6 linked regions of the Rattus norvegicus genome follow. The protein of the gene in region 3 purifies or fractionates together with the protein of the main gene of each other region. This does not show direct contact. Links are inferred from orthologs where the notes say so. Each region holds a gene or a part of one and is shown on either strand. Other genes may lie near its edges.

Region 1 (4,728 bases), on a different chromosome or scaffold from region 3:
TGGGACTGGCAAAAAGATTCTGCAGTTAAGAGAACTTGGCTGCTTTCTGAGGACTGGAGTTCAATTCCTAGCACCTACAAGGCAGCTCACCATCCTCTGTAACTTCAGTTCCAGGGTTCTGAAAGGCAGACAACTGTTACATATATAGACAAACTGCCTGTGCACATGAAATAAATACATGTTATTTACTTCTTACTGTTTTGTGACTTATCCTTTTATTTTTTGATACTATTTAGAAAAATTTTATTTGTTTTGTTGTTGTTGTTGTTTTAAATACAGGCATTCTGTATAGACCAGGCTAGACCTAGAGCTTACAGAAATCTGGCTGCCTTTGCATCCCACTGCTAGGGTTAAAGGTGTGTACCACCTTACCCAGCTCATTTGGACTCATTAATGTGAACATTATTTCAATTGCCTTTCTTGTATCCTGTGAAAAGTAGATGAGATATGATGGGTCTTATCGTTTTATTTTTAAAGATTTTAATTTATGTGTTTGATTGTTTTGTCTTCATGGATGTCTGTGCATTTTGTGTGTGCCTGGTGCCAGTGGAGGTTAGAAAGAGGGTATTGGATCCCTTAGAACTGACTGTGTGTGTAAGACCCTTAGACTTGTGTGTGTGCTGAGTATTGATGCTGCATCCTCTAGAAGAGAGAGTTCTTAAAAGTGAGCCATCTCTCCAGCATTGGAATTTGTTTTTCTTATAAAACTTGTAAGGATTATACTGTCTTCAACAAAGATTATGAGTGCTACTCAATAATAATCTAATTTCCTTCTAAGCCTCATAGGTGAAAATATCTTAAATAATAGTCTAATCTTTTAATTGGTCCCCCCCCCCCTTTTTTTTTCTTATAGGGGAAAGTAATAGAACCTCTGAAAGATTTTCATAAAGATGAAGTTAGGATTTTAGGCAGAGAGCTTGACCTGCCAGAAGAATTGGTTTCCAGGCATCCTTTTCCAGGTAAAAACACACTTGGGTTTTGTTTGTTGGTGGACTGTCATATGGATTCAGTTCAGACCATTCTGAATGGTTTGTCTTCTTAGGGACTGTGTAACATCAAAGAAGGTAGAGAATGACAGGGAACACATTCTTAGAAGTGTCTCCTGTATTTACACCATATGTGAATCATTCTCTTTTTTGTTTGTATTTAGGTACTATATAATTCCTGGGAGTCTAGCATATAGCATTGTTTCCAGATGGGGATGTGAATCATAGAGATATTTTAATTACATTTCTACATAGTTCTTAGTTATAGATCTAGGATTTTTATACCATGAGTACTATGTACTTTACCATTTATACCATGAGTATTCGTGTATTCCATGGGAAAAAAAATAAATCTTTGTTTTTTCCTCTTCTGTTTTTAAAGATCGCGTCTTTTAAAAAATGGTTCTCTTAAAAAATAGTGATATCCCTCTCACTCCCACCTCCAGGTTGCCTTGGATGCTCTGGGTTCATGCATTCGAGGCCTGCCTGGTCTACATTCCAGGACAGCCAGAGCTCTGCAAAAAAAGCCTGTCTCAGAAAACAAACAAACAAACCAAAAACAAACCAAATAACAAAACCCCCAAACCCTGGGTGCTTATTTTAAAACTAGTAATGAGACTGAGAACAACTAATGGAATATGAGTTTCATTTTGCATGTAGACACCTCAAGGGGTTTTTTTTTTCCCCATACTATAGTAAAGCAACAGGTCTTGTGCATGCCTTTTATTCTTTTTTAGTCTTGTGTGAGATTTGTTTTGTTTGCATGTGTTTCTGTCTGCATGTGTGTGTTCACCATGGGCATGCCAGATGCCTAATGAAGTCAAAAGAGAGGGCATCAGAGCCCCTGAGATACATGGTGCTGGCAACTGAAACCTAGTACTCTCAACTACTGAGGAGTCTCTGTACCCTGCTGTTTATTTATTTACTTGCTTGCTTACTTACTTAGTTACTTTATGACTATTACGTATTTGGTAAATAAAAGTGCTGGTTCACAAGTTTGTATTAAACAATATTTTTACTTTTATATTTCAATTTTAAACAGGCTGTGAGATGTATGTTCGTTATATGTTTTTATATTCATGTATGGTAGAGAATTCCTTCAATTAAGAGATTTTCAGTAAATTACCATATATAGTATGAATTAAAATATTTTTATGAGAATATATAGATTAGTCAATTTGGATGGGAAATTAATACATATATACTTGAAATTAAATATCTTGTGTTCATTTGTTTTAGTTTTAGATTGAACCTCATGTCTTTGTACATACTTAAGATTGGCTCTACCAAAAAGCTACATTTTTGGCCTTGAAAGTTAGAGTGCTAGGATTCAGTGGTAGACTATTTGCTAGCATGCACGATGCCCTGTATTTGAACCCTAACACTTTTAAATAAAAAGAAGAAAACAAAACACCATGTGATAATAGTTAGATCCTAATTTTATAAGGGTTTTATGTTTTAGAGATCGTATCAGTTTTCTATTAAAATTGAAATTATAGGGCTGGGGATTTAGCTCAGTGGTAGAGCGCTTACCTAGGAAGCGCAAGGCCCTGGGTTCGGTCCCCAGCTCCGAAAAAAAAAGAACCAAAAAAAAAAAAAATTGAAATTATAGATTTTATATTCAAAATTGTTGTTCTTTAGGTCCTGGCCTGGCAATCAGAGTAATATGTGCTGAAGAACCTTATATTTGTAAAGACTTTCCTGAAACCAACAATATTTTGAAAATAGTAGCTGATTTTTCTGCAAGTGTTAAGAAGGTAATAAATTATTTGACATCTAGTCAGTACATTGGACAAAATAGATTGCTGTTATATTCTTGTTTTAAAATGAACTTATTTATTTTGTGTTTGAAAATTCAGAACAATATTTACTTGGAGTGACTATGTAGAAATCATAACACAGAGACTACTTGGTAGATCTGTCTGGATAAGCAAATAAGACTACCTATCCCCTGTCCAGAAAAGCTACATCAGATGCTCTTTCATAGGTACTGAAAGAAAGTAAGTCATGAGTGAAGTAGAAGTGTCGATTTAAGAAGGCTGTGTGCTCCCCTGAAGACAGCATTCCACTAGTTCCATTTGAGCAGAAACTGTCCAAATAGGAGACCTTGGGGCCATGAAGTGTCTGTAATTAGATCACAGTTTTTCTTAGTAATACTTTAGGTATAAATTGAGAATGTATAGCAGTTTCCCAGTCCCTCAGATGTGAGGTGTTAACTCATAATCTATGTGATTGAAAATAGCAAGTTAGTTTCATTTGAGGTCCACCTGGATTGGTACTGTTTCTAAGTAGTCAGGCAAGTTCTACACAGGTTCTCTATAATCTTCACCCTGTTTCCCAAAGAATTCCCAGAGTTTCAAAACAGTAAGAGCTTACAAAGAACAGAACACAGCCATATGACCCACTAAGTTATAAATAACTAGCAGAGCATCCTCAGTGACCCTGCATACTGTAGTTTGCTAATAAAATATGAGGAAGTAAAGTAGGAGAAGCTATTAACAGTATTGTTTTATGATACTTAAAAACTGAGATAGTTGAATTCTAGAACTGTTAGCAACTGAAATTAACATATGAAGAAAGGATTCAAGGATAGAGAAGAGTGTGAAGAGTGGAGGGAAGGAAACTGCAGTCAGGATGAGAGAGGAATTAAAAATCAGAACAACTCAAGGTGCTCCGGGAGATGACTGGTGCATGCCCAGTTGTTTTAAAAACTAAAGCAAGTATTCAAATAAAGGCATTTCTAAATAAGTGCATTTACTACCAACAACCCTTGGCTTGAGGAATTTAAGGCAGTATTTTTTCATAATGGTTTGAAGTAAACTGGGAGGGTAATTTTTTGTTCTTTTTATTATTTTTTTTTAAAAAATAAACTTTATTAGAAAAAACTTGTAAGCCTCCTCCTCTCGGTGAACTGTATAATTAGAATAACCATTCTAAGGTTATAAAGTTTCACGTTGGATTTTACACTTTCACTATTGAATATATTTTAATTCCGCTATCTAATACTAAAACTGAAGTCTAAGACAAGTAGGAAAACAATTAATTTTACATCTTTTGATTATTCATGTCCATTACCTACATTCAGTTCTTCCTCATCTCCTAGTATTTAGCCTTTCTTGTAGCAAACACTACAAGAGAGGCTAAATATAAATAGTAATTGGTTTTTGAGACAGTCATGGCCCTCTACCTCCTTTTCCTTAGTGCTAGGACTCTGGGTGTGCGCTACGTCTGGCTGTAAGGGGGCCTTTGATACTTGCCCATTTCTAGAATTCCTGCCTTTGGTAGTCTTGAATAAAGCACTGGCTTTAGGAAAAGCTGTGAGACAGACTTAGCTCTACAAGGGATTGGTAAGCAAATAAAGTTATAAATGAGTAAGACTGACCTAAACATAGACTGCACAAAATAGTTAATGACAACAATATTACTATTTGAGAACTAACAAAATGTAAAGCATTAAAAATGATTGTTTTGCCAAAAGGACAAAAAGGTTTAGATGAATGAGTTGGGAGGATCACCAGTTTACAGAGCAAAAGTTGCAAGATAAAAGGGGGAAGGTGATGACACAAAATGCACAAAAGGTGGCAGGAAAGTCAACATCTCAGTGTATATAAATTTAATTTATATTTCTTACTCCACAGATGAATTTCTGCTGTAGTATAGCGCATAGCATATTCTACATGATCTACTGTTAAAAACTAGTCTGTACAGGTACATAAGATGATGACTTTTTACAACATGAACA
Region 2 (4,728 bases), on a different chromosome or scaffold from region 3:
CATTGGGAACCTGCCACATGAGGTTGACAAGTCGGAACTGAAGGATTTTTTCCAAAGTAAGTGCTGGCTGATTCTCATGGTGGCATGAGTTCCTAGGCGGTGCCACCCAGTGGAGGCACAGGTGTAGTGTCAGGTCTTTAATGTCTGTTTAGTCCAAGGGCACAAACAGTGAGTTTTGGGGCTTGAGTGTTCATCTAAAATAACGAATGTCAAAACTGGTACTTCCCTTCATTGTGACACCAAGTAGAAAATTCCTTGACCTCATTGTCATGAGCTGTAGGCACACTACAGTGTAGTATAAAATTCCTTTATAGTGGTATACAGGGAACACGTGAGACACAGTGTGTTGTCTTTTAGACTTGGATCATTTCTTTAAGCTCTAAAATTCAAAAACCCCATAGCTTTGTTATGGTCTCAGTTATAAGTATTCATCTAAGGAGCACTTGAACTATATTTTGCATTTTAATATGACATTCTAATAATCAGTTGCATTAAGTTCGTGGCTAATCTCTGTCTGGTGTAAACCATGCTGGGTGTCTGCAGAGAAGTCACCGGTGCTTTGCCCTTGCAGGTTATGGGAATGTTGTGGAGCTGCGCATCAACAGTGGTGGGAAGTTACCCAACTTCGGTTTCGTTGTGTTTGATGACTCGGAACCAGTTCAGAAGGTCCTTAATAACAGGGTAAGCAAAGTGTGTGTGTGCGTGTGCATGCGTGTGTGTGTGTGTGTGTGTGTGTGTGTGTGTGTGTGTGTTTGTGTGTGAGAGAGAGAGAGAGGGAGAGAGGGAGAGAGAGATGTCTGGTTTTTGCTTGCTTGCTTTCGTGCACACGTGCGTGCTAGGTGTGTGCAGTGCCTTTAGGGGTATGGAGAGTGGGAACACGCCCTGGAAGCGGAGTTACCTATTTTGATAACTCCAAGGCTTCTGGCCATTGAGGCTCACCTCCTCGAAGTTGTGCTTGCAGGAGGCAGATGGTTCAGGTGCCTTCTGCCCTCTCTCCATCTCACTGTGCTATACTCCCTTCAGTCTGTGTCTGTCTGTGGGGGGTGGGGTTTTAGCACTGGCTTGCTGAATGTCACTGTGTGATCATACACTAGTGTAGCTGAGTGTCATTTTCCAGCTAGAAGGCCAGGCCTTACTTTCTCACCCCTAAATTGCAGGACTCTAGGAATTTTATTTAAGTCAGTTTAATGATGATTTGCTTACGAGGTACCAATATTTTGCATAAGTGTGTGAGAAGGTTTTATTCTCAAGCTGTGGAGGCGTCCATATCAGGGTGTTTACTGGAGTGTGCCTTAGTTATTAGTACAATGGTGCTCTGCTTCAGGACTCTTTAAATTGGTGCTTTTCTACTTCTTGGCACTAGTAACACAAAAGATGTTTTATGAGCTCAACACATTGGTGACAACGGACTAGTTGGTTGAAAGCCTTGCTCAGTAGGGTGGCTTTGTTCACTTTTGACCGGCACAGTCAGGGGCTGATCTGAGTGTTTGCTTTCCCTTGGTTCTCACACAGCCCATCATGTTCCGAGGTGCGGTTCGCCTGAATGTGGAAGAGAAGAAGACTCGAGCTGCCAGGGAAGGCGACCGCAGGGATAACCGCCTTCGGGGACCTGGAGGCCCCCGTGGTGGGCCGAGTGGTGGGATGAGAGGCCCTCCCCGTGGAGGCATGGTGCAGAAACCAGGCTTTGGCGTGGGCAGGGGGATTACAACTCCAAGGCAGTGAATTGCTTGGCTCAGATCTCCACACAGCACACAGCCCCGGCTCCTGCAGAATGGTGAATTCCTTCAACCAGCCTTTGGTGTCTTGGAGTAGTCTATTATAAACTGCTTGAGTTTGTACAATTTTAATTTCGCTTGTGTTCATGGTGTGTGCTCCCCAAACCCCTTTCCTCCCTTGACCTTTTAGTCCTTCATTCCCAGTTTTCCGGAATGATACTTTAGGAGGAATAGATTTGTAAAGACGAAGAGGAAAGACTGACCTTCCTGCTCACGCTGCATACACAGACTGGAGTCTCACGGCCATTCCCCAGAAGTGTCTCGGTTTCACTGACCACGGATGTTTCATTTGTTGGGAGACACAGGATTTGATAAACATTTTGGAAGCGGGAAAAATCAAGTCACAACTCCTTTCTGGTGTGGAAAAATTGCCTTTTGGCAACTGCCACTGGGTCCCTGCAGGTGTGGCTAACTGAATAAAAGGTGTTCTTTTGACATGTGATTACCAAACAATTCTAAACCTCCATTTTTACCATTGGATTTTTAAATTGTGATGTAGCCTGTCAATGTCTAGAACACAGCTAAAGACTTTTGTTGAACTGTTAGATTTTTTTGAGGTAGAGTTTTTCATGTTTTATTTGTATTTGTAAAAAAAAAAAAAGAAAAAAAAAGAAAAAAGAAAAAAGGACAAAAAATTCCCACGAGAAAACAAACCCCAAATCTGATGACAAAACCAAGCAACACTGTGCCTTCTATTTATCGTTGACTCCGGCCCTGGCAACTGTTTAAAGGAAAGTAATAAAGATTCCAGAGTTGTTTTCAGATTCAGAGTATGTGGGGGAACTGCACAAGTTTTTTGATCACGTGTATGTGTCGTGTTAACATTGTTCTGCCTTATCCTAAATCACGCCTCAGACTGGGATGCTTTTGAGGAAAGGTGCTTCTGTGAGGCCTCTGACCTCAGTGGCTCTGTGCGCCACACTCTACTCTGCTGTCTGTCTGGGTTCCTGGTGGGCCATAAGAAGGATTTGGTTGAATATTGGACTTGGCTAATGTGCTCCAGGGTCTGCATTTTTTTTCTTTAAATCATAGCCATATGGTAAATTTTCTATTTTGTTACGGTTCTCTTTTACTGATGGACATGCAGTGGGTGTTTCTTGGAAAAAGGCCAATTTTTATTAAAATATTTCTGGAAGAAAACTTCATCTGGCAATGTAGACTGCTAAAACTCACTTTCCAGTGTTGTGTGTTGAGTGCTGTGTGTGACATTGGGTGAAGGTTTTGTCCGCACAAGCCTCCATGGACAAGTCATTAGTCTGAAGGCAACCAGAGTGTCTAACTTTTCCTAATGTTTGTGTGTATGTCTATGTATATGTGTATGTCTATGTATGTGTGTATGTATATGTATGTGGGAGTCTTCATACATGCGTGCACCACAGTATGCTTGTGGAAGTCAGGGCAACTTGGGATCTAGGCCTTATACTCCACTGTTTGAAATTGGCCCATGAGCCACAAGCTTCTATGGGCTCCTGTTTGTGCCTCTCATCTTGCTGTAAGGGCACAAGGATTTCAGACATGTGCTGCCATGCCTGTCTTCCCTGTGGCTTCTGGGAATTAGTCAGGTCTTCATACTTACACATAGTGCTCAGCCAGCTCGTCTGACTTTAGAGCTGTCACATATGTATGCTGGTTTTGTTAGGGTAGTTGGGATGAAAATGGTGTGAGGTTGTCAGGTTTGGTCTCAATACCTCACAGATCTAAATGTTGACAGCATGTTGTGAACTGAGGTAACCAAATCCCACGACTGGGGGTTCAGTTTAAGCACTTCATTTGAGGTGGTGACGATGCAGATGTGTGCAGCATGTACTTTGTAGTAAAGTGTATGGTTACAAGGACAACTGAGCCAGGCTTGGTGACTCATGATGATAACCCCAGCACTCAGGAGGCAAAAGCATGGTCTGTGAAGCAAGTTCCACCAAGGTTGCATAGTGTGACTTTCAAGAAACAAGGCAAAAGGGCAGCAAAGAAAAGTCCCAAGTGGCACACAATGGCACAGGCTTGCCTGTGTAGTCTCAGATCTCCGGTTCAAGGCTAGTCTGGCCCATATAATAGTCTCTTAAAAGTTTCAGTAACTTGGGTAAATCTAAAAATGATTTTCACAATTGAGTACTAAGACATGCATTTAGAAGTTTTTTCCTAGTCACCTGATTAGGTGATTGACATTTGCTGTACAGAGTAAGGTGTCATGGCAGCATCCCTCATTTCTCTGGAGACCAAGGGTATCAGAGTGATCTGGATTGATCTGAGAAAGAGCAACCTGTGGGTGGGTTGGGATATGAGAAGCCCATTCTCTTCTACCTCAGATAAGTGTGTAGCAGTACAACCGCGCGCGTGTGTGTGTGTGTGTGTGTGTGTGTGTGTGTGTGGTGTGTAGGGATGTAGCAGTACCCCTATTGCTTGTGACTGGGGTTGGGGAACTGCTTCAGCCCTACCCTATTTCCCAGCAGTGGCACTGGGGATCAGAGTGTGCTTTGGAAGGGCATGGGTCTCAGCTTGGCAGCCCGTTTTGCACTGGAGAATCTGGATGCCAATGACACCACGTGAAGCCTAAACCTTGGAGCTTAAGAGGTGCTCATGGTTACAGAAAGCACAGGCTATTTCAGAAGTGGCTGCTGATGTCAGCCTTCTCATGTCAAGATTTGATCTGCAGGGAAGACTCAGGATGTCGTTCTTTGTTATTGAGCTTAACTAGGATCCGTGATGGGTATTTTAGCCAAGTGAGACTTTATGTATGTGTACATGTCTATGTGGATGTTGGCCACATGTGCAGGTGCCTCAGAACACCTATGGCCCCTTGGAGCTGGAGTTACAGGTGAGTGAGCCCTCCCACATAGGAGCTGGGAATCGAACTTAAAGTCCTGGAAGAGCAGCAGGGTACTCTTAGGCATGAGTCTCTGTTCAGACCTATTGGAAGTAAGTAACCAGACCTTGACCAGACCTTTCATTTGCTTTC
Region 3 (4,728 bases):
TTCTCCATCTATGTTAATTGAGTTTTGCAGGATACAGTAACCTGGGCTGGCATTTGTGTTCTCTTAGGGTCTGTATGACATCAGTCCAGGATCTTCTGGCCTTCATAGTTTCTGGCGAGAAGTCTGGTGTGATTCTGATAGGTCTGCCTTTATATGTTACTTGACCTTTTTCCCTTACTGCTTTTAATATTCTTTTTTTATTTTGTGCGTTTGGTGTTTTGACTATTATGTGACGGGAGGTGTTTCTTTTCTGGTCCAATCTATTTGGAGTTCTGTAGGCTTCTTGTATGCCTATGGGTATCTCTTTTTTTAGGTTAGGGAAGTTTTCTTCTATAATTTTGTTGAAGATATTTACTGGTCCTTTGAGCTGGGAGTCTTCACTCTCTTCTATACCTATTATCCTTAGATTTGATCTTCTCATTGAGTCCTGGATTTCCTGTATGTTTTGGACCAGTAGCTTTTTCCGCTTTACATTATCTTTGACAGTTGAGTCAATGATTTCTATGGAATCTTCTGCTCCTGAGATTCTTTCTTCCATGTCTTGTATTCTGTTGGTGAAGCTTGTATCTACAGCTCCTTGTCTCTTCTTTTGGTTTTCTATATCCAGGGTTGTTTCCATGTGTTCTTTCTTGATTGCTTCTATTTCCATTTTTAATTCCTTCAACTGTTTGTGTTTTCCTGGAATTCTTTCAGGGATTTTTGCGATTCCTCTCTGTAGGCTTCTACTTGTTTATTAATGTTTTCCTGTGTTTCCCTAAGGGAGTTCTTCACGTCTTTCTTGAAGTCCTCCAGCATCATGATCAAATATGATTTTGAAACTAGATCTTTCTTTTCTGGTGTGTTTGGATATTCCATGTTTGTTTTGGTGGGAGAATTGGGCTCCGATGATGCCAAGTAGTCTTGGTTTCTGTTGCTTGGGTTCCTGCGCTTGCCTCTCGCCATCAGATTATCTCTAGTGTTACTTTGTTCTGCTATTTCTGAAAGTGGCTAGACTGTCCTATAAGCCTGTGTGTCAGGAGTGCTGTAGACCTGTTTTCCTCTCTTTCAGTCAGTTATGGGGACAGAGTGTTCTGCTTTCGGGCGTGTAGTTTTTCCTCTCTACAGGTCTTCAGCTGTTCCTGTGGGCCTGTGTCTTGAGTTCACCAGGCAGCTTTCTTGCAGCAGAAAATTTGGTCTTACCTGTGGTCCCGAGGCTCAAGTTCGCTCGTGGGGTGCTGCCCACGGGCTCTCTGCGGTGGCAGCAACCAGGAATACCTGTGCCGCCCCTTCTGGGAGCTTCAGTGCACCAGGGTTCCAGATGGCCTTTGGTGTTTTCCTCTGGCGTCCGAGATGTATGTACAGAGAGCAGTCTCTTCTGGTTTCCCAGGCTTGTCTGCCTCTCTGAAGGTTTAGCTCTCCCTCCCACGGGATTTGGGTGCAGAGAACTGTTTACCCGGTCTGTTTAATAGGTCACTTCTGAGAAGAAGTTGGAGCAATCTTGGCCATGCTGTAGGTTTCACTCATTACTTATGAATCTTCCCATATGAGAGTCGCAGCAGAGTCAGATTACCCGTTACTTTCATACTTTTAATGTATGAAGATGACATTCATTAACTACATTGGGCAATTCATCAAGTGGGATGTCCATTAGACATTTGAGGGTAGAGAACGTTTCAGAGAGGACCAGGTTTTGAGAATAGGGATGCATGAGGCAAACCCCAGTGCATGTACGCCTAACTCAATAGCCATTTCTATGCACACTTGCTTCCTGTTCTGTGGAAACCTCTCCTTACCTTTCCAGGACGATCCTCACCTCCTGAGGAGAGAAGAGACAGACAGTCAATTCTGGAGTTTCTGATTGACTACTGAGATGCCACTCCTGGGGTCATGTGACATCATTGACCGTGTATCCTTTGGGCTCTGTTCTGCACCATCGCCTTGGGCTAAGGCCCTAAGGATGACTCTGACAAGGAGAAATGACATGTGATGGCTAACAGAGTATCTAGGAAGCCAACATGCCTATGGCCTTTAGCTAGGATATGACCAGGGATCTAGAGACTGATGTAGGCTCCTGGAGGATGGGGCTGTCCAAGGAGACAGTAGAAGAGGAAAATAAACAACACGACCTGACTGAAGCCCAGTTTCAAGCAGAAAATGGCTGAGGTAGATGTCCAGAGAGGCTCCTTGCTATTTCTGGGCTTGAGTTGTTTGTGGAGGAAGGGCTAGTTGGTTAAAAGCTTTGTCCTGTGCTATGGCTAATCCTCTCTACTATTTACAGTGAGCTCAAGTGAGAATATTCATTCCCAGGGAGTGGCAGCCATAGTGTTTGAACTGGCAGTCTCCTAGGATCAGGAAAAAGACACCAGGGAGCTCAGTTCTATGACAGGAGGAGAAAGCCTGCCAAGTCAAACCTATATGACCAGCTTTTCTGTACAAAGTAGAAAGAAATGTCTGTACACATCTGACTGAGGGACAGTGACAGAGGTATGAGAAAAGATACCTAGAGATCATCTGGTCTATAATGTTCCAACACCAGGCTAACATCCATACCAAGGATGGATGAAAGATGGTTTTAGAGTATGAATGACTTTAAAAAGTAATCTGTTGTCTTAATTTCTGCCTCTTACTACTTAGACAAGCTGATGTAAGTTACTGTGAATCTCCCACTATGTCCATTAATGTTTTCTCTTCTGTGGAATGGGATCCCAGCAGCACTACCCTGAGCCCTGGTAAGTCACTGGTGTGCTCTTGAGGAACCTGCACTTACTATCCGTATGGGAAAAATCAGAAGAGAGAATAGTAGTACCAATACATGATCTTTTAGTTCCTATGCTTTGGGAAAAATATTTTAAATTTACTTTGGGAAAAGAGCGAGACTTTTTGCAGAATCCTATATGTTAAAAATCATATAGGTAGTTATGCAACAGCTATGCTTGGGTTAAGGGCATCCTTGTGGATCCTACTCCCTCTGTGGCTTCATAAATGGAGAAACAGTATAGAAAAGAAAAACAGTTTATTCCCATGAGCTATCACTTTGGAGAGAAACGGCATACTTCGGTTTTATATACTGAACTTTTATAAACATTCTATGGCTATTTGTCTAAGAACTCGAATGAATTTTCTCATTTATTTCTTTTTAAAAATATCACTTAAGATATGTGATACTATGCATCCTGGTGACATGATTCCCACTCCTGACACCTGCTGTGGTGGGCATCTCCTAGGAATAGCTATCTACTGGTTGCTATATGGAATACTTTCTCTTGTGTTTGTACCCTGCTATTCTGTAATGGAAGCCACTTGAGTGTTCACATTTCAGCTTATTTAAAAATATCCTAAAAATTAAGGCAGCACTTCCTTTTTAAGAGCGGTTCCAGACAGTGCTGGCCTTTTCCTAGTTATTCCTTGCGCCTGCGTAGGGATCGCACCTTCAATAGCTCCAGTTCTGAACCTCGGCTCCTCCTCTCCAGCTCTGAGATCAGTTCCTGCAGGGCCTGGTTCTTCTCAGCCAGCTCAGCCTCCTTCTCCCCAAGGAGTCTCAGGTGCTCCCTTTCATCCTTCTCCAGCCTCTGCAGCTGCCTCTGTTCCTCCTGAGCCAGCAAGCTATTCTGATGTGCGAACTCTTCGTGAATCCTCGACTTCTGGGTGTCAATGTTCCTCTGTGGTGGCAAGGGAAAGACAAGAGTTTCACAATCAAAATTTCCTAGGCTTTGGTGGTGAAGGTGTTTCTGTCCCCTCAACACCCACCCACACTCAAACCGCCACCCTCACCCACACATGCTTCCGTCACTAGATACTCAACCTTTCTTCCAAAAGCCACTAATGCCCATGTGAGTCCCTTTGTATTTCTATCTCAGCAAGTAATAGAGTGTAAATCTGTCCCCATACCCAGTGTTGCTATCTTTCTAGGCCCTGGGTGGAAAACAGCGGCCCCAGGAAAACATTCTTTGCCATCTTGGAGAGTCGAGTCTTTGCTACTCATTTGGGGTCTGTGATTGGCTGTAAGCCCCTCACATTCCTTGCCAATTTCAGATGTATTTCATTTCCTACCAGCAAATTCTCAGTGGGACAGGTTTTAGTTCTCTATCAGGCTTCGGACTAATACTCTGGTCACCAACAAGCAGCCACCAGGTCAGGTGGACTTCCTACCTCAGATCCAAGAACCCACTGTTGACTCTGTTGTCCCCTGAGAAGGAATGATGTGACCTTACACTTCCTCCAGTAATTCTTGATCTTTGTGCCAGACTGGTGGAAATCTCATCTAATTTTAAGCTTCTTCCCTCCCTTCCTCCCTCCCTTCCTTCCTCCTTCCCTCCCTCCCTCCCTCCCTCCCTCCCTCCCTCCCTCTCTTCCATCCTTCTTTCCCTCTCCCATCTTCCTTCCTTCCTTTCATTTCCTCTCTATCTGGAGACAAAGAGTGCAGATGCTTCATGGAGAGTGACCTGTATAATAACTCTACCATCCCTTGGGTAGGCACAGTCATGGTTAAGACTTGCTTAATGTCAAGACCTGAGAGATGCAGTCTACAGTTCTTGCCTTCCAGTCTGTTCTTTGCATTGCAAGATCCATTTCCAACTTCTCGGCCAACTCTTTCCCTTTTCTCAGTTTTTCTAAAGCCTTGTGAATCTTCTCCTGTAGAAAAAGATAGCAGGTTAGTCCCCAGCTAAAGATGTGGAGGACGAAGCTGGAAAGACTTTGGAAGAAACCTAGTATGTCTTACAAAAACAGAGCTAGGCCAATGGGGTAAGG
Region 4 (4,169 bases), on a different chromosome or scaffold from region 3:
AAGAGCCCCCAGCTGTGCACCTGCTATGTGACAGCAAGCTGGCCTTGGCTCCAGGAGCTCTGCCTTCCTTCTTTATCAAGAAGATAAAAATGGGAGCCCTGCATGGTCTCCAGGGGAGGGAACTGAAAAGCTGTCATATAGTACCCGCTGATGGTCACTCCCATCCTGTTTGTTTTTATCCTCGGAATAGTAGGAAGCCATCACTGAAACCCCCAGCAGGAATCAGACGCCGCTGTCACCTAACCCTTTCCCACCAGTGACATCTTATTCTGAAGATGCATCATACATATTTAACCAGCCGAGAGAAGACGGAGTGGTGCTTTCTCGCCCGTCAAATCCAATCTCAGCCAGCTAGCGGGAACCCATCCTCTAAACCAGTGGTTATCAACCTGTGGGGCTCAACCCCTTTGGGGTAGCATACCAGATATCCTGTATGTCATTTATTTATATTACAATTCATCACAGTTGCAAAAGTCCAGTTCTGAAGTAGCAACAAAATAATCTTACGGTTGGGGGTCACCACAACATGAGGAACTGTATTAAAGGGCCACAGCGTCAGGAAGGTTGAGAGCCACTGTTCTAAACACTAGTCAAGAAGATTCAGTTTGAGCCAAGACAGAGGAGGAGCCTAGTGGAAATGGAACATCTGGACCAGCAGCCCTTACCTTCATGGAGTCATACAGCCGGTCAGCAAAGTACAGGGGCTTGTTCTGAATGCACTGAACTGTGGAAAGGAGACACAGGTCAGGGGTGAGGCTGCTTTCCTGCCATGCATGAAGGAAGATGATGCCCTGGCCCTAAGACACTGACCAGAATGGGCCTGCCCCATGGATCCAGGATGTAGAAGACCAAGGAAAACTCAGAATCTCGTGAACCAGTAGGTTCTACCCACTGTGGTCTCTTCAATCATGAGATGCAGAGGTCAGTGATGCCCCAGTGTATATATGAGTGTCCCCATTATAGCCCTCTCTTCTCCAGCAACTTAGTCCTTCCTGGCAACTTAAGCCTGTTTCATGTCTTTAAATCTGCAGACAATCCTAAAGCTCTCCGAGACTTGCAGAAAGTCACCACACCTCCCAAGTCCCCATTGAAGGAAACACATAGCCATTCACTCCTGTCTCTGCCCTCTCTGCCGGCAAGGAAAGGCCACCCTTGCTCACCCAGGTTCAGGAAGGCGTTCTCCAGGTCTCCTTTGACCTCTTTCCTGATGCTCTCCAGCATGTCATAAGGACTGTAGCTCTTGTACCTTTCGAACACTAAGAGAAGGACAAATGATGTCAGAAGTGCCGGTCGGAGCCGCACGGACAGCCTATACAACCAGACAGCAGCAGCAGCAACGAAAACAAGAACCCAACACCTAAAGGTGATCCCCACGCATCCCAGGGGCTGGCAGTCATTTAGGGGCTGGAGGTCACCTTGGTGGACTAGAGATGATTTGTACCTGTCTTGCCAGATGACCCAGGTCTAGCTCCTATCCTTAATGGCTCTGCCTAGGCCACAGAGTTTAACCATCCCTCTGTGCCCTGACTGGACTCCATCTACGTGGATGTCATGGGAAACAGGATAGAGCCAGGGGTCATGTCCTGAACTTCAATAATCATGGCGAGAGCAAAGGATCCTCAGGTAAGGAGGGGAATTAGGAAGGGCCATGGAAACGGCCTGAGGTCCGTGTTTAGCCCCCCAAACCCAAAACCCATGTTTCAAAACAAACAAAAACAAACAAGCCAAGCATGATGGTGTGTGCTTGTAATCCCAGTGCTGAGAAGGCTGAGGCAGATGGGTGGCAGCTGTCTGTCCAGGCTGCCTAGCCTAGTGTTTGAACTCAAGGCCAATGAGTCTAAAAACCAAAACAACCACCCGGGGTCAATGGTTTCAAAGGTACGACACCGAAGGTTAACCTTGGCTCCCACATGCACTCCAAACACATGTGCACTCATATGAACATGCGCGCACACGCACGCGCGCGCACACGCGCGCGCACACACACACACACACACACAGTGAAACAAGCTAACATATCAAATATTGAACACATTTGGGGACGGAGGGTCCACAGTGAGAAAGGAGGCCAAATGGTTTGATAAAGGAAACTGAAAGAGTGAGTGGAGAACGAGCCTTGCTCTGGGAGCTCTGCACCTCACTGCAGCCTTTGCCACCTGAGAGCCTCCAGGCACTGAGACCCCGCTGGCACAGCACCCACCTTTCTGGAGGTGGCACACACTGCGCTCAGTCATGATGCTGATCCACTTGGGGACATCGGTTCCTTTCCTCTTCACCCCAGCATCATAGAGCTCCTGTGAGAGATGCAACCAACCAGGAGAAGTTAACCACACAACCCCCTAGCAGGCGTTACTCAAAAGCCCGTTCCCAGAAACATGTGAGCGCACAGGCCTGTGCTGCAGCTGGGACCCATCGTGTACCACATAGAGCAGGTGTGCTCAAACTTTTGGCTTCCCGGGGCCACACTAAGCTATCTCCCTAGGCCACAAAGCCCACTTCTAGCATTTATTAAAAAGCCTTTCTCTTACACTCGATGCACTCCCCAGACTATATAAGATTTTAAAACAGAGGCACATGATTTTGTCTGCCGCTCTTATGACTTGCTTTGAGATAACAGAGCCGCCGACCCCTTTGAGTGAGGCACGCCTCGTTCGCAGTTATCTAAAATAGCTTTATGAGGAGGTCACAGGCCCCTGTCATCTTCCTCTGTCCTCACTGAGTGGAGCAGGGAGCCTTCCTCTCCTGGTGTGCCTACCCCATCTGCTCCAGCTTCCCTAAGAGTTTAAGGTCAGGACCTAGCACTTCTATGCAATCAAAGCCTGAATGAGCCAATGGGACCTGGGTACAGATCTGATAATTAACCCCAGCATTACAAACATGGTTCCTGGAGACAAAGCTCTATGTTCAGATGGGCTGAGGCTTTAAAAGGCCCATTTCTCCCTTGGAAAGGACATTACTTAGTTTTACCCCTCCCACAGCTGTGGGCTGGACTCATGGACTCACTTCTAATGGTCAGAGTATGACAAGAGTGTATGACACTTGCGACTGAGTCATGAGAGCATGAGGGTTTCTGGATCCCTCTTGGGTCACTCACTCTAGGGAAGCCAGGGGCAATGTTGTTGGGGACATTCAAGCAGTCTGTGGAGGCCTGTGTGGAGGTATGCTAACATCTCTTGCCAAAAGTAAGTCACACATGAGCCATGTAGGGAAGATTCCCTTTGACCTGGTCATGCGCTCAGTAATTATAGCCCTAGCCAACATCTTATCTACAACCACATGAGAGGCCTTGAGCCAGAATTATCTGGTCAATCCAGTCTCCATCCCTGACCTGGAGAATCCGAGAGATAACAAATGTTAGCTTGAGGTCATTCGTTGTATATAAGTAAATGGTTGTGTGGGATACAACCCCCTCCAGATACACACGCCACGTAAAACTCAGCCAAGAAGCTTGGAACTTACCCGGGCATCCTGGTCAATCAGCTCGTAGTCAATAACAGAACCATCCTCTGCCCGTTTACCCTGTAGGGGAAAAACAAGAAGGACCCTCAGACCTAGCTCTTAGTGCATTCTAAAGCTGGAGGTGTTTCCTCTCTAACCCAGGTGAATCATAGCCTCATTCCTGAGCAGATACTACGGCCAGTTTTTCACAAGGAGAGAGAGATGGTCAGGGAGGGAAGTGGCTACACCATGTCTGATCATTGTGGGCCAACCCTGGGGACCCAAGCCCCAGTAAGCATCTTACCGAATTCCCTGACTTGCCCCAGAGAAGCTGAGCCCATTTAAGTCTCTTCCCTTAAACTGTGTATAACGGTGAAACACATGGCAAGGGGGCCACCAGGATACAGTATGCAAATGAAGGGAAAGGCTAGTGTAGTAAACAGTTAGTTAGCTGAGCCCAGGAGGGCTGGGATAGGGCCGGAGCTGAACCCTCAGGGGCCAGCAGGGCGGGCGGGGGCACTCTGCACACACAGGCAGAAGTAGAACAGGCTTACAGGTGAGTGATACACCACCCCGAGCCATCACAGAGCAGAAGGACAGAATTACAGTGATGAAGAGGAAGGGTCACAGGGGTGAAGTCAGTGGGACTTTCTGGAAGGGTGCAGTGGCTATGGGTTTTGGCCAAGGAAGCAAGATGCAAGTGGATTCTAAAAAGACCCTGAATCTGCAGT
Region 5 (5,214 bases), about 62 Mb from region 3:
AGGGTACTCACCTGCCACAAAGGGCCTGAGGTCGAACACGACTCCGTTCTTGTCCTTGGGGACCTCTCCATCAGGCCCTCTCCCACTGTCTGGAAGCAGCTCCTCACCCAGGGCCCAGAAGGAATGCGAGTGGCCTAGGCGCTGGGCCCAGAGGCACTGCCCTGCCCGCCACAGCACCAGCCCCTTGCCCAGCCCCTTGAGTACCTGCCTCACATACTCCCTCACAAGCCTGTCTGTCAGAAACTCCTCAGGGTCTGGCAGGGTGACTGGCTGCCAGGGCAGTGTCCCGTTGTCAGACGTGCTGCCCACCAGCCGCAGGCCCCCGGGGCAAAAGAGTGTCTGCTGGAAGACCTGGCGGCCTCGGTAGAAGGCAGTCACCTCGAACTCCCACTCTGAGTACCGGGGTAGATGAAGAGGGGAGGGGAGAGATGAAGAGGACCAGGTAAGGACCACAGTCCCTGCTGCAGCCCTTCCTACCCCACAGCAGGCACTCACGTTCCTCAGCTAGCAGCTGCCTTAGTGGGTTTTCCTGGGGTGCTGGGTTTGGGAAGTTGTTTACAATGGGGCTTAGTGGTGGTTGAGAAGGATCAGAAGCAATAGGCAGGTCTGAGGACCCCTCATCTGGGAGGGGTCCCAAGGCCATGTGATCGAGTAATTCCAAGAGGTCTTCCTGGAGGAGGAAGGAGCTAGTCAACAGCTTCAGCTGAGCCAGAGGGTAGCAGATTGGTGGGAATGGAGGTCCAGGGGTAAGGGCTGGGGTGGGAAGAAGGTGAGGCCTAATGGATGGGGCAAGGCTGGGCACAAGACTAGTGTCTCCTCACCTGGTGATCAGACAGACTGCTTTTGCCATTGGTGTCAGGGGAGGTGTCCAGATGTACAAAGTCCCTTGCTCCTCCTGTCCAGAGTGGAAGTGAGCAGAGTAAGTGGCAGAGATCTTCCAGACCCCACGGTTCCTGTGACCCCCAAGCCAGCCTTGTTACACACACCTGGAGTCACAAACTCATACACTTTATGAGGGTCAAAAGGGTCCTTGCTCCGGTCCTCAGCTAATCGCAACACTTCTTTCCGGTTCAGGGCTGACCGGAAATTCCTCTTCCAGGTTGACAGGTCTGGCTTATCCTTCCCTGGGGTGTAGGCACCACTGGCTTCCGCCCAGGCCTGATACATCAGTGATTCCAGGACAGTAGGGAAGACTACTTAGACACCTCCCACCATATTCCATACATTTCTGGTTCCTGACCTAAGTTCTCACATTCATAGAGCCCCTAGGACTTCTGTCCCGACCTCATCCTTATCTATATTTTCCACACTTTAGAAAAATATTTTTGAATATGAGACAGGGTCTCACACATTATAACAAAGGTAGGCTCCAAGTTTCGACCCTCTAGCTGCCACTTCCAGAGTGCTGGGATTACAAACGTATGCCACACATCCACCTTCAAGCCTTTTGATTTTGGTTTGTTTTTTTTTTTTAGGTTTATTTATTATAGACGAGTACACGTAGCTGTCCTCAGATGTGCCAGAAAAGGGCATCAGATCTCATTACAGATGGTTGTGAGACACCATGTGGTTGCTGGGATCTGAACTCAGGACCTCTGGAAGAGCAGTCAGTGCTCCCAACCGCTGAGCCATCTCTCCAACCCAAGCCTTTTGTTTTTTAAGCCAGTATTCTAGGACCTACTTGGTACCTCACCCCACATTCTGTTACTACCATGCTGATCTGGTAGCTAATAACCCCATCCTGAGGGCTGTTCCAATTCTTAAGATTTAAGGGATCTAAAATCAAGAGCCCACCCCCCCCCCGAGATTTCCCATCCTCTAATAAAAGAGCTGTTCTCAACTATCCGAATACAGATCCTCATGATGTAGTGAGTCCCCAGCCCCAAATTTTTTTCATTGCTACTTCAAAACTGTAATTTTGCTGTTATAAATCTTTTTTTTTTTTTTTTTTTTCCGGAGCTGGGGACCGAACCCAGGGCCTTGCTAGGGCCTTGCTCCTGCTAGGCAAGCGCTCTACCACTGAGCTAAATCCCAACCCCAGCTGTTATAAATCTTAATGTGAATATCTGTTTTCCAATGAAAGGCCCGTTCAACCCCCAAAGGGGTTGCGTCCCACAGATTGAGAACCATTGCTCCAGAACAGTTTTTTAGAGACACAACCTGGCTTTCAGAATTCTATTCCTGGAATCTGCCAATCAATTCCGGGCTGTCCCTCCAAGTCTATCCCACCTAATTAGCAAGACCCAGCCCTGTCTAGTCACGCCCATAAATGCCTCTGAAGTCTCAACGCCCCCCCCCGCCCCCTCCCCCCCAGCACCTGGAAGATGCCAAAGTCAGCCATCTGTGCGTCCTGTCGTAAGCCATGCTTCCATGGGATCCTGAACTTTGTACGGCTCTCGTCCAGCCAGGCCACACCTTTCAGCTGTCCCAGGTCCAGCTGAGACACCAGCCAAGGCAAAATCAGCGGTTTCGGGGTTCCCATGATCCAGCCTGCGCATACAGTGCAGTTCCTGAGCCTGTATGTCAAGGGGCAAATGCACTCAAACCTCTCCGACCCGATACAGCACAGGCCTTCCTTCACCCTGTTTTCCTGTGTACAAACGGGAAACTCCTTCCCACCTTTCCAATTCCAACGGGACCGCCTATCCTACCCCACAGTTTTCCATAGGTTCTTTCCCTTTTCTAAATGTAAACCCCTATTACTCAAAGCAAGTACCCCATTTCCAGGGTGGAGTCCTCTTTCCCTGTCTTTAAAGAATCATGACTGTTCTCACACCCACCTCACCCTTGCAGAAAACCCTTACTCATTTCCAGAGTCTTCTCCCAGCTGCTGTCGCTTCTTCTGCTTTGTCTTTTCTACATTGTTTTTATGGATGTTTTGAGACAGGGTCTTAGTATGGAGCATAGGCTGTCCTCGAACTTGCTATGTAGCCATGATTGGTCTTCAACTCACTGTGTGGCCCAGGCTGGCCTCGAATGCACTCTGTAACCCAAGCTACCCTCAAACTTATTCAGTAGCTCAGGCTGGTCTTCAACTCGCTTAACCCATGCTGGTTTGGAGCTCATTCTGTGGTTCAGCCTGGCCTGGAGCTCACTGGCCTCGAACTTGCAGCAATCTTTACTGCCTCCAGTCTGGATGCTGAGACTGCAGGCTTCCGTCTACAACGCGTAACCATTCTGGTTTTCGGTAGCCGAGCTCCTGTGCCCTGAGGCCGCCACCCTCCCGGTTCTTCCGCGTTACCTACCAGGGGAGGAATTGCGCGCTCGTGGGGCGCGGGTGTCAGCACTGGTTTTGGGGCTCCCAAACAGTAGTTGAGACTCGCAGCCACGCAACCCCCTTCTTTGTCAACTAAGCTTCCGAGCGTTGGGACTTTCCTTTCTAATGGTATTTTGAGATAAAAAAAAAATTTCTCATCATTTACTTTAAGAAAAGTCAGAAAACCTAGGAGCACACTCCGACTGAACCGGCCTAACTCCCTCAATGCCCTTTTTTGGCCTTCCGCCTACAGGCATGCTGGGAACGCCATATGCAAATGATGCAACACAGCGCTCCGCCCCCTCGACGTTGGGGCGGTTACCGTGTCGGCCCAGTGCGCAGGCGCGGGAAAGTTGAACTTCGGAAGTAAAGTTTGTAGAAATTGAGTGAAAGCGTGTGTGCGCCAGTACGACTGAGGCAGAACCCCGATCCAGGTGAGCGGGGTACCAGGGAGGGAGCTAGGTTGCAGGAGAGGTCACAGCCAGTCCTGTCTCTCTGACTTCCAAGCACGGAGGTCTCCTGGTGCCCGCCAGAGGTCATTGGAACTACATCTCCCAGCAGGCTGCTCGGTGAAAAAGAGGGGAAACCCGGCTAGCGTTTGCCGCAAAGCGTACTAGGATTAGTAGTTCCCTATTCTCTAGGGTCTTCGAGACTCCTTCAGCACTCAGGGCTCCCTTCCTGCTCCTGCATGTAAGAGTCCAAGCACTCAGTTACGTCCTTTCTTTCTTTCTTTCTTTTTTTTTTTCTTTTTTTTCGGAGCTGGGGACCGAACCCAGGGCCTTGCGCTTGCTAGGCAAGCGCTCTACCACTGAGCTAAATCCCCAACCCCTACGTCCTTTCTTAGATTCAATAATTCAGGCCCTTTCTCCTCAACGGAATCAACTGCCCCACTGGCCCTTAAGCCACCTTTTCCTTGGAGTAAGGTGTCCTCTTCATTCAGTGATTGAATGAAGTTTGAGTTATCACTCCATTTGGGTACATTCTCTGTCTTCTGCTTCAGGTACCTCCATGGCCGGCTCTGAAGAGTTGGGTCTCCAAGAGGACACACTGAAGGTTCTGACTGCCTTCCTTAGGCGCGGTGAAACTGCTGGGTCCCCTGTCCCAACTCCACCCAGGTGAGATACTATTCCACTCCCCCAGGGCCAGCCTTTGATCAGAAGATCTTCCTGAGTCTAGTGGTCTACTCCCTTCATACCTAACCCCATATGTCTGTCCCAAGCTTCAAGAATCTTCCACGAGAGGACGAAGGGATTGTTTGCTCAGAACCCTCTGGGATAACTCTGAGGTTCTTGCCCCTAGGAGCCCTGCCCAAGAAGAGACAACAGATTTCCTGAGCCGACTCCGAAGATGCCTCCCTTGTCCCCTGGGGCGAGAAGCTCCTCCCCCTGAGTCCTCTAGGCCCTGCTTCCTTCCCCTCCGTCCCTGCTATGGTTCAGAGCCTGGTAAGAGATTTCTTCAGATCACTTGTGAAATTTGGAGGCTAGCAGCCTTGGTCCTGAAGAATCCAGACAGTACCCATTATAAAGTCAACACTGCTCAGCTTCAGTGCCGGCCATAGCCATTTCAGTTCTTTGTTACACTTCTTTCTAGGGGGTAAGTGTTTCTGCCTGGATGGGAGGTATCCTGGGACTCCAAAGCCCAGAAACCACACAGCTCTGAAGGATGAAGGTATCCCAGTGCAAGAGAGACCTGAGACCGGGAGCCCAAGAATCATGCAGCTCTGAGGCGGGACAGTGTCCCAATGTTAGGGCATCCTGAGACATAGGGGCCCAGGAACCACACAGCTCTGGGAGGAAGCCTCCTCGGCAGAGGTGTTTTGGTCAAGGGAGGGTATCCATCCCCAGCTGAGCCGAGGTGCTCAGGAGCCTCAGCCCCGCTCCACTTCTTTGCTTCATTGCTTCTTTTCTTCTTGGCGCCTTCTGATTAGAGAGTCACACCAGGCAGAAAATCTCATGAAA
Region 6 (4,728 bases), on a different chromosome or scaffold from region 3:
TGGCTAACGCACAGTTGCACACCACAAGGTCAAGAGCACCCAGGTTGGTAGGAGCAGGACCAGAAGGGTCCCACTGGCCCTGTGCTACATCATGCTGCTGCAGCTTGGTCTGAACATCCTTCAGGGCCTGGGGGTGCCGGTCGGTGGCTGTATACTCCAGTTGCAGCATAGGCTGGGTGTTGAGCAGTGCTGAGATGTGGGAATACAAGTGGCCTTCTCCAGCCAGCACCTGGTGTGGGAGAGCATCTTAGATCTGTTGTTTCTAGGAGGCAGAAAACCCTGGGGCCTGGGTGAGCCTCTCCGTGCTGCTCATGCTCAGTTTTGTGGCAATGCTGGCCGGGAGGCTCTTCCAGTGTTCTCCTCTACTCTCCTGTGGAGACTGTCTGCGACATCCCAGGCTAGAGCTCAGAGCATCCCAGGATTCTTTCCCAGAAGCCTTCCTTCTGATATCTCATCCCCTGGACTGGTAGCAGTGAAAAGTTCCCCACAATCTTTTAGGGTGGAACAAACCAAAGCACAAAGGCCATAGAAAGCTGCTACATCATGGCTGCCTGCCTTGGGCTCGGGTCTGAGATTGCCCTGGATCCACGCACATGGCCTGTCTACCTTCCCAGCACTCACCTCCACCACCTTCATCTTGAGAGTAGACAAGTTCTCCAGGGCTGTGTCTATGCAGGCCTTGAGGGCCTGGGAGTTAAGGAGGCCACTGATCAGAGGGTCTTCTGGCAGCAGGAGCCTCTCTCGAGCCAGTACCTCACCTAACTCCAGTTGCAGGTTCCCGTTGAGCTGCAGCTGGCAGGCAGCAGCCAAGAGTCGAGGCAGTCCATGCTGGGGAAGGTCCTCTAGCCCAGGCACTGTCATCTTCAGCCCTTGCTGGGTGGCCTTGGTCTGCAGAGCCTTTGCCAGACCTGGGAGGGACAAAGAAAGGCCTACGTTCTCTCTCTACGGCCTCCAGCCTACTGCCAGGGCCTGCTTCCTAGCGTGTCCACAGGACAAGCCCACAGCAATGGGAAGAGCGGAAACTCAATAGGAAGGATGCAGCAGTGCCGTGCTACCCATGGAAGGTAGGCTGTGCTCTCACCAACCCTGAGCTCCCCGCCATCCAGGCCTTGCCTCAGGAGTTTCAAAGGCAAAGACTGAGGAAGAAGAGGGAAGGTTTGGATCCTCACCCTTGCACAGCTGCAGCTCTTTCTGCAGGATAGCACTCTCAGACAGGCACTCAGGCTCCACATGGGGTGTGAAGACAAACTTCTCCAGGGTGGGGACCAGCTGTTCCTGCTGCCGCCGTGAGGTTGCTGTTGTCTGTAGTCTCGAAATGTAGACACCACCAGAGACGGTCACGCCCAGACAGCGGCTCGTGGTCACGTCAGCCACTATGGAGACACACTGGTCAGTGTAGGCAATGCTCAGTCCAGGACAAGTGGACAGAGCGAGGGCCAGAGCTACCTTGAGTGTCTCCCTCCAGCATGTACACCTTCTGCAGGTGGGTTGCAGGGTCAATATAGATGGCAGTCACACGGGTGGGTAGCTGCAGACTCTGCTTGCTGAAGCCCAGGATGGATATCTGCAGCATTGTGTCCATGAAGGTCACCCAGTTGTCTTTCCAGAGCAGCTTGCCTTGCTCACCTGCAGTAGGGGGGCTGCTCAGCACACGAGGCCTCACCTGCTCCAGGGCCTCTACTCCCTTCCTCCGTCTTCCCTGACCCCCAGCAAGACATGGCCCAGGAGTGACAATGGCTCCTGGTCATCATGCTCACTGACTCGGGGATTGCTCCTGCCCACCTTCGAGGGTGGCCTCATAGACGCCCTGGAAATGAGGGCCATAGTCATAGCCACGTAGCCGCAGCTCCTTGTATACTTCTCCCTGCGTCAAGCGGGAGACAGACTCGGACTCGGCGGGGATCGGGACTTCTGGGTGGTCGAATAACTTGGAGTCAGGGTCTTCCCACTGGTACACTTTCCCTGTAGGAGGCAGGGCAACAGGAGGGTCTGAGCATGGGGCAGGCTAGGAGCTGAGGTCCTCAGCCACACAGGCCCAGCCAGGTACTACTCACCGCTCACTATCAGGTTGCCACTGTCAGACACCTCAAATGCATGTGAGGCCTCTAGCAGCCGCACCTCCAGAGGCACGGTTCCTGCAGAGAAAAAAAGAAGGTCAGAGCGGAGTAGTCACAACCACCTCACCAGCCCCCACTGAAGGGCCTCTTACCTGTCCTGGGCAGGATGGTGGCCTGATGAAATGTCACGTTCTCAAACACCACAGGGGTCTCTTCTAGGGACAAGCTCAGGCTTCGAGCCAGTGTCTTCCACACCAGGTACAGGTAGCCAGTGCCAGGGAAGAGGACACGGCCGTCAATGCAGTGGTCGACCAGGTAGTGGTCAGATGACTCGGAACTGGCGTCTGTAAGGACAATGCCTCAGCACGGGCCCACAGGCCTGGGAGGAACCCACTGACCACGGAGCCTGGCTCACCAATGTTGTAGACTGTAGCTGAGGAGGAGCTGGAACCGTTGGGGAAGTCTTCAGCAACTGGGATATCCCAAGTCTGACTGTGGTCCCACTTGATGTGAGGGGAGATGAGAGGAGTCCCTCGGGGAACCGGGAATTCCACAGGTGGGAACAAGGCATTAGGGTTGATGTCGATGCTGGTGACAAACAAGTTAAGTGACACACCTGTCCCTGAGAGTCTGTGGCCCTACTTTTGCTCTAAGACCCCAAGATGGCCAAGATGAGGACCGAGGGCCAGCACTGAGCTAGGCCACAGCAACCCCTCTCATGGGGGTTGGTGTGGGCCTGCACACGAGCAGCAGACAGAAGGGAGACCTACCCTGTGAGGTGCACCTTGCCGAGGTTGGTGAGGAAGAACTCCAAGTTATCTTTATGGTCCCTCTTCATCAAGGGGATGATGGTGCAGCTAGGCTTCACGCCTCGCTTCAGGACAGCCTACACATAGCAAAGGAGAGCTAGGCTCCGACCCCTTCCGTGCCACTCGCCTTCGCCAGTGACTGGCAGGCTGATGTGCCCCATCCCAGGCGGACCAGTGCTCACCTGCAACAGTGCATGGGGTGCAATCTCCAGCACCACGGCGTGCTCGGGGACGTGCCACAGTGCTTCCTGGAAGAGCACAGGGCTCACCAGGTTGTTGACGTTGTACTCAGCAGAAGATGTGCGGGCCAGGCTGCTCTGCCACTGGGCCTCAGGGATAGAGGTGCTGAGCCAGCGTGCTGAGCGTGGCCGTGGCTCCCGGATCACCTGCACACAGACGCTTGGTTAGCGAGTGAGGTCAAGTCACCGTGCCCTGGGGTCCAAGCACATGGCCAGGTACTCACCTTCTTGAGAGCCTGCAGCAGCGTGGGGGCAATTCCTTCCATGAAGTAGGAGTGGAAGGCCAGGCCACCTGTTCGCACCTCCTTGGCAAACACGCCCTCTTGCTTTAGCTGCTCCACAAATTCATTCACTGCAGCCTGCAGGCATCAAGGCCAGTGGTCAGGGGGCCTGGACTGGCTTTCCCTGGTCAGGGACACAGTCCACCCAGAGGGCCTGCGACAAGTGTAGCTCACCAGCTGGGCCCTTCAGAACTTGGTGGACACAGACTGAGGAGGCCTTGCCTCCTAGGCAGGGCCAGGGCAAAATTGCAGGGAACAGAAGTCCTGCTATGATTGCAGGGCCTACCTGAGGTCCAGAGATGGTCACAGTGTCCTCAGAGTTGTGGCAGGCAGGCACCACACCAGGAGGGCAGCGTTGTTTACATTCTTCCCAGGACAAACCTATAAGCAGAGAGGCTGGCCTCAGAGCTGGCCCGAACTCAGCCCATCCTCCTGGACCATGAGCACTACTTAGAGCCAATGGTGTTGGGATGCTAAGAGTCGACCTTCCAGGGCACCTTTACTCCCTCCCTGCTGTTTCTGATCTCAAGAGAGGTGTCATTATGGAGGGAGTGTAGGAAAGGAGCCGGACCTCAGAAATGACACCTAAGTGGTGTAGGGGGTAAGCAGCTGAGAAGCTGGGCGATGAACACCTAGGGTTGGTAAGTGGCTCTCCTCAGCTCCTGGAACCCTCATCTGATGTGTATGGTGTTTCATACCTTGCTCGGGCCTGTGGGGTCAGAACTGAAGCCTCCTATAAAGATAATCTGAGCAGAGTGACTTCTCCCTTTGCAACCCCATGTCTCACAACAAAGCAACTGATTCTTTTGGAGGACCCAGGACAGAAACCCCTTCCAAGAAGATCCTGGTGCCTAATGAGGTCGGGGGCCCTTGAGAGGATACCTACCAACAGCTGCCATGGATCCAGCCGGAAGGTTGGCATCCTTAATGCACTGGCCTCTCCAGTAGGCTGCAAGCACAGCCTCTCTCTGGGAGAGACAGCCATCTGCATAGCCACAGGCAACCTCTCCCAAGGAGTGCCCAATGATGCCATCAGGTTTCAGCCCCATAGACGTCAGCAGGTCGATGAGGGCAATCTGCGAAGTGGGGATATAAGCCATGTCACGTAGACCCTAGATCACTAGCCTGACCATCCCTCACAGTAAAGCTGAGCACACCAAGCACGCCAAGCCTCTCTTAGGGTCCTCTGAGAAGACCCTGCTCCTCCTCAGGTGTACCTATTTAAGGCTCTGCCTACATACCAGTCAGGGCCAGGACTACGTGACTCTGGTGTGGAGTGTCCCGGGGTCCGAGTACCACGAAGGTGGCATACCTGGATGGCGGTGAGGCTCACAAAGGAATG

What was found.
Region 1: the proteins of Trim21 (region 3) and Gmps purify together in Homo sapiens (affinity purification with western blotting; 3 studies listed by BioGRID). This does not show direct contact. The link is inferred for Rattus norvegicus from reciprocal best matches to the Homo sapiens genes TRIM21 and GMPS.
Region 2: the proteins of Trim21 (region 3) and G3bp1 purify together in Homo sapiens (affinity purification with mass spectrometry; 3 studies listed by BioGRID, with this or other methods). This does not show direct contact. The link is inferred for Rattus norvegicus from reciprocal best matches to the Homo sapiens genes TRIM21 and G3BP1.
Region 4: the proteins of Trim21 (region 3) and Anxa2 purify together in Homo sapiens (affinity purification with western blotting; 3 studies listed by BioGRID, with this or other methods). This does not show direct contact. The link is inferred for Rattus norvegicus from reciprocal best matches to the Homo sapiens genes TRIM21 and ANXA2.
Region 5: the proteins of Trim21 (region 3) and Irf3 purify together in Homo sapiens (affinity purification with western blotting; 3 studies listed by BioGRID, with this or other methods). This does not show direct contact. The link is inferred for Rattus norvegicus from reciprocal best matches to the Homo sapiens genes TRIM21 and IRF3.
Region 6: the proteins of Trim21 (region 3) and Fasn purify together in Homo sapiens (affinity purification with western blotting; 3 studies listed by BioGRID, with this or other methods). This does not show direct contact. The link is inferred for Rattus norvegicus from reciprocal best matches to the Homo sapiens genes TRIM21 and FASN.

What each region holds. Positions count from the first base shown.
Region 1 is NC_086020.1:150,620,675-150,625,402, forward strand, and holds part of Gmps (GMP synthase [glutamine-hydrolyzing]), read left to right. Parts: intron 1-853; coding exon 854-959; intron 960-2,627; coding exon 2,628-2,743; intron 2,744-4,728. UniProt on the Homo sapiens protein: Catalyzes the conversion of xanthine monophosphate (XMP) to GMP in the presence of glutamine and ATP through an adenyl-XMP intermediate.
Region 2 is NC_086028.1:40,114,148-40,118,875, forward strand, and holds part of G3bp1 (ras GTPase-activating protein-binding protein 1), read left to right. Parts: coding exon 1-56; intron 57-571; coding exon 572-681; intron 682-1,512; coding exon 1,513-1,722; 3' UTR 1,723-4,728. UniProt on the Homo sapiens protein: Protein involved in various processes, such as stress granule formation and innate immunity. Plays an essential role in stress granule formation.
Region 3 is NC_086019.1:166,385,387-166,390,114, forward strand, and holds part of Trim21 (E3 ubiquitin-protein ligase TRIM21), read right to left. Parts: intron 4,612-4,728; coding exon 4,516-4,611; coding exon of another isoform or gene 4,489-4,515; intron 3,639-4,488; coding exon 3,408-3,638; intron 1,796-3,407; coding exon 1,773-1,795; intron 1-1,772. UniProt on the Homo sapiens protein: E3 ubiquitin-protein ligase whose activity is dependent on E2 enzymes, UBE2D1, UBE2D2, UBE2E1 and UBE2E2.
Region 4 is NC_086026.1:79,016,554-79,020,722, reverse strand, and holds part of Anxa2 (annexin A2), read right to left. Parts: intron 3,520-4,169; coding exon 3,460-3,519; intron 2,295-3,459; coding exon 2,201-2,294; intron 1,257-2,200; coding exon 1,161-1,256; intron 725-1,160; coding exon 666-724; intron 1-665. UniProt on the Homo sapiens protein: Calcium-regulated membrane-binding protein whose affinity for calcium is greatly enhanced by anionic phospholipids. It binds two calcium ions with high affinity. May be involved in heat-stress response.
Region 5 is NC_086019.1:104,614,741-104,619,954, reverse strand, and holds the start of Irf3 (interferon regulatory factor 3), read right to left. Parts: upstream 3,348-5,214; 5' UTR 3,246-3,347; intron 2,944-3,245; exon of another isoform or gene 2,906-2,943; coding exon of another isoform or gene 2,805-2,905; intron 2,570-2,804; exon of another isoform or gene 2,517-2,569; coding exon of another isoform or gene 2,483-2,516; coding exon 2,318-2,482; intron 1,159-2,317; coding exon 987-1,158; intron 896-986; coding exon 822-895; intron 671-821; coding exon 496-670; intron 393-495; coding exon 12-392; intron 1-11. Other genes in the region: Bcl2l12 (bcl-2-like protein 12), read left to right, coding at 4,265-4,371, 4,556-4,698.
Region 6 is NC_086028.1:106,578,110-106,582,837, forward strand, and holds part of Fasn (fatty acid synthase), read right to left. Parts: coding exon 4,699-4,728; intron 4,463-4,698; coding exon 4,273-4,462; intron 3,768-4,272; coding exon 3,673-3,767; intron 3,465-3,672; coding exon 3,330-3,464; intron 3,253-3,329; coding exon 3,049-3,252; intron 2,944-3,048; coding exon 2,828-2,943; intron 2,646-2,827; coding exon 2,473-2,645; intron 2,402-2,472; coding exon 2,210-2,401; intron 2,136-2,209; coding exon 2,055-2,135; intron 1,963-2,054; coding exon 1,783-1,962; intron 1,627-1,782; coding exon 1,447-1,626; intron 1,374-1,446; coding exon 1,170-1,373; intron 909-1,169; coding exon 622-908; intron 230-621; coding exon 1-229. UniProt on the Homo sapiens protein: Fatty acid synthetase is a multifunctional enzyme that catalyzes the de novo biosynthesis of long-chain saturated fatty acids starting from acetyl-CoA and malonyl-CoA in the presence of NADPH.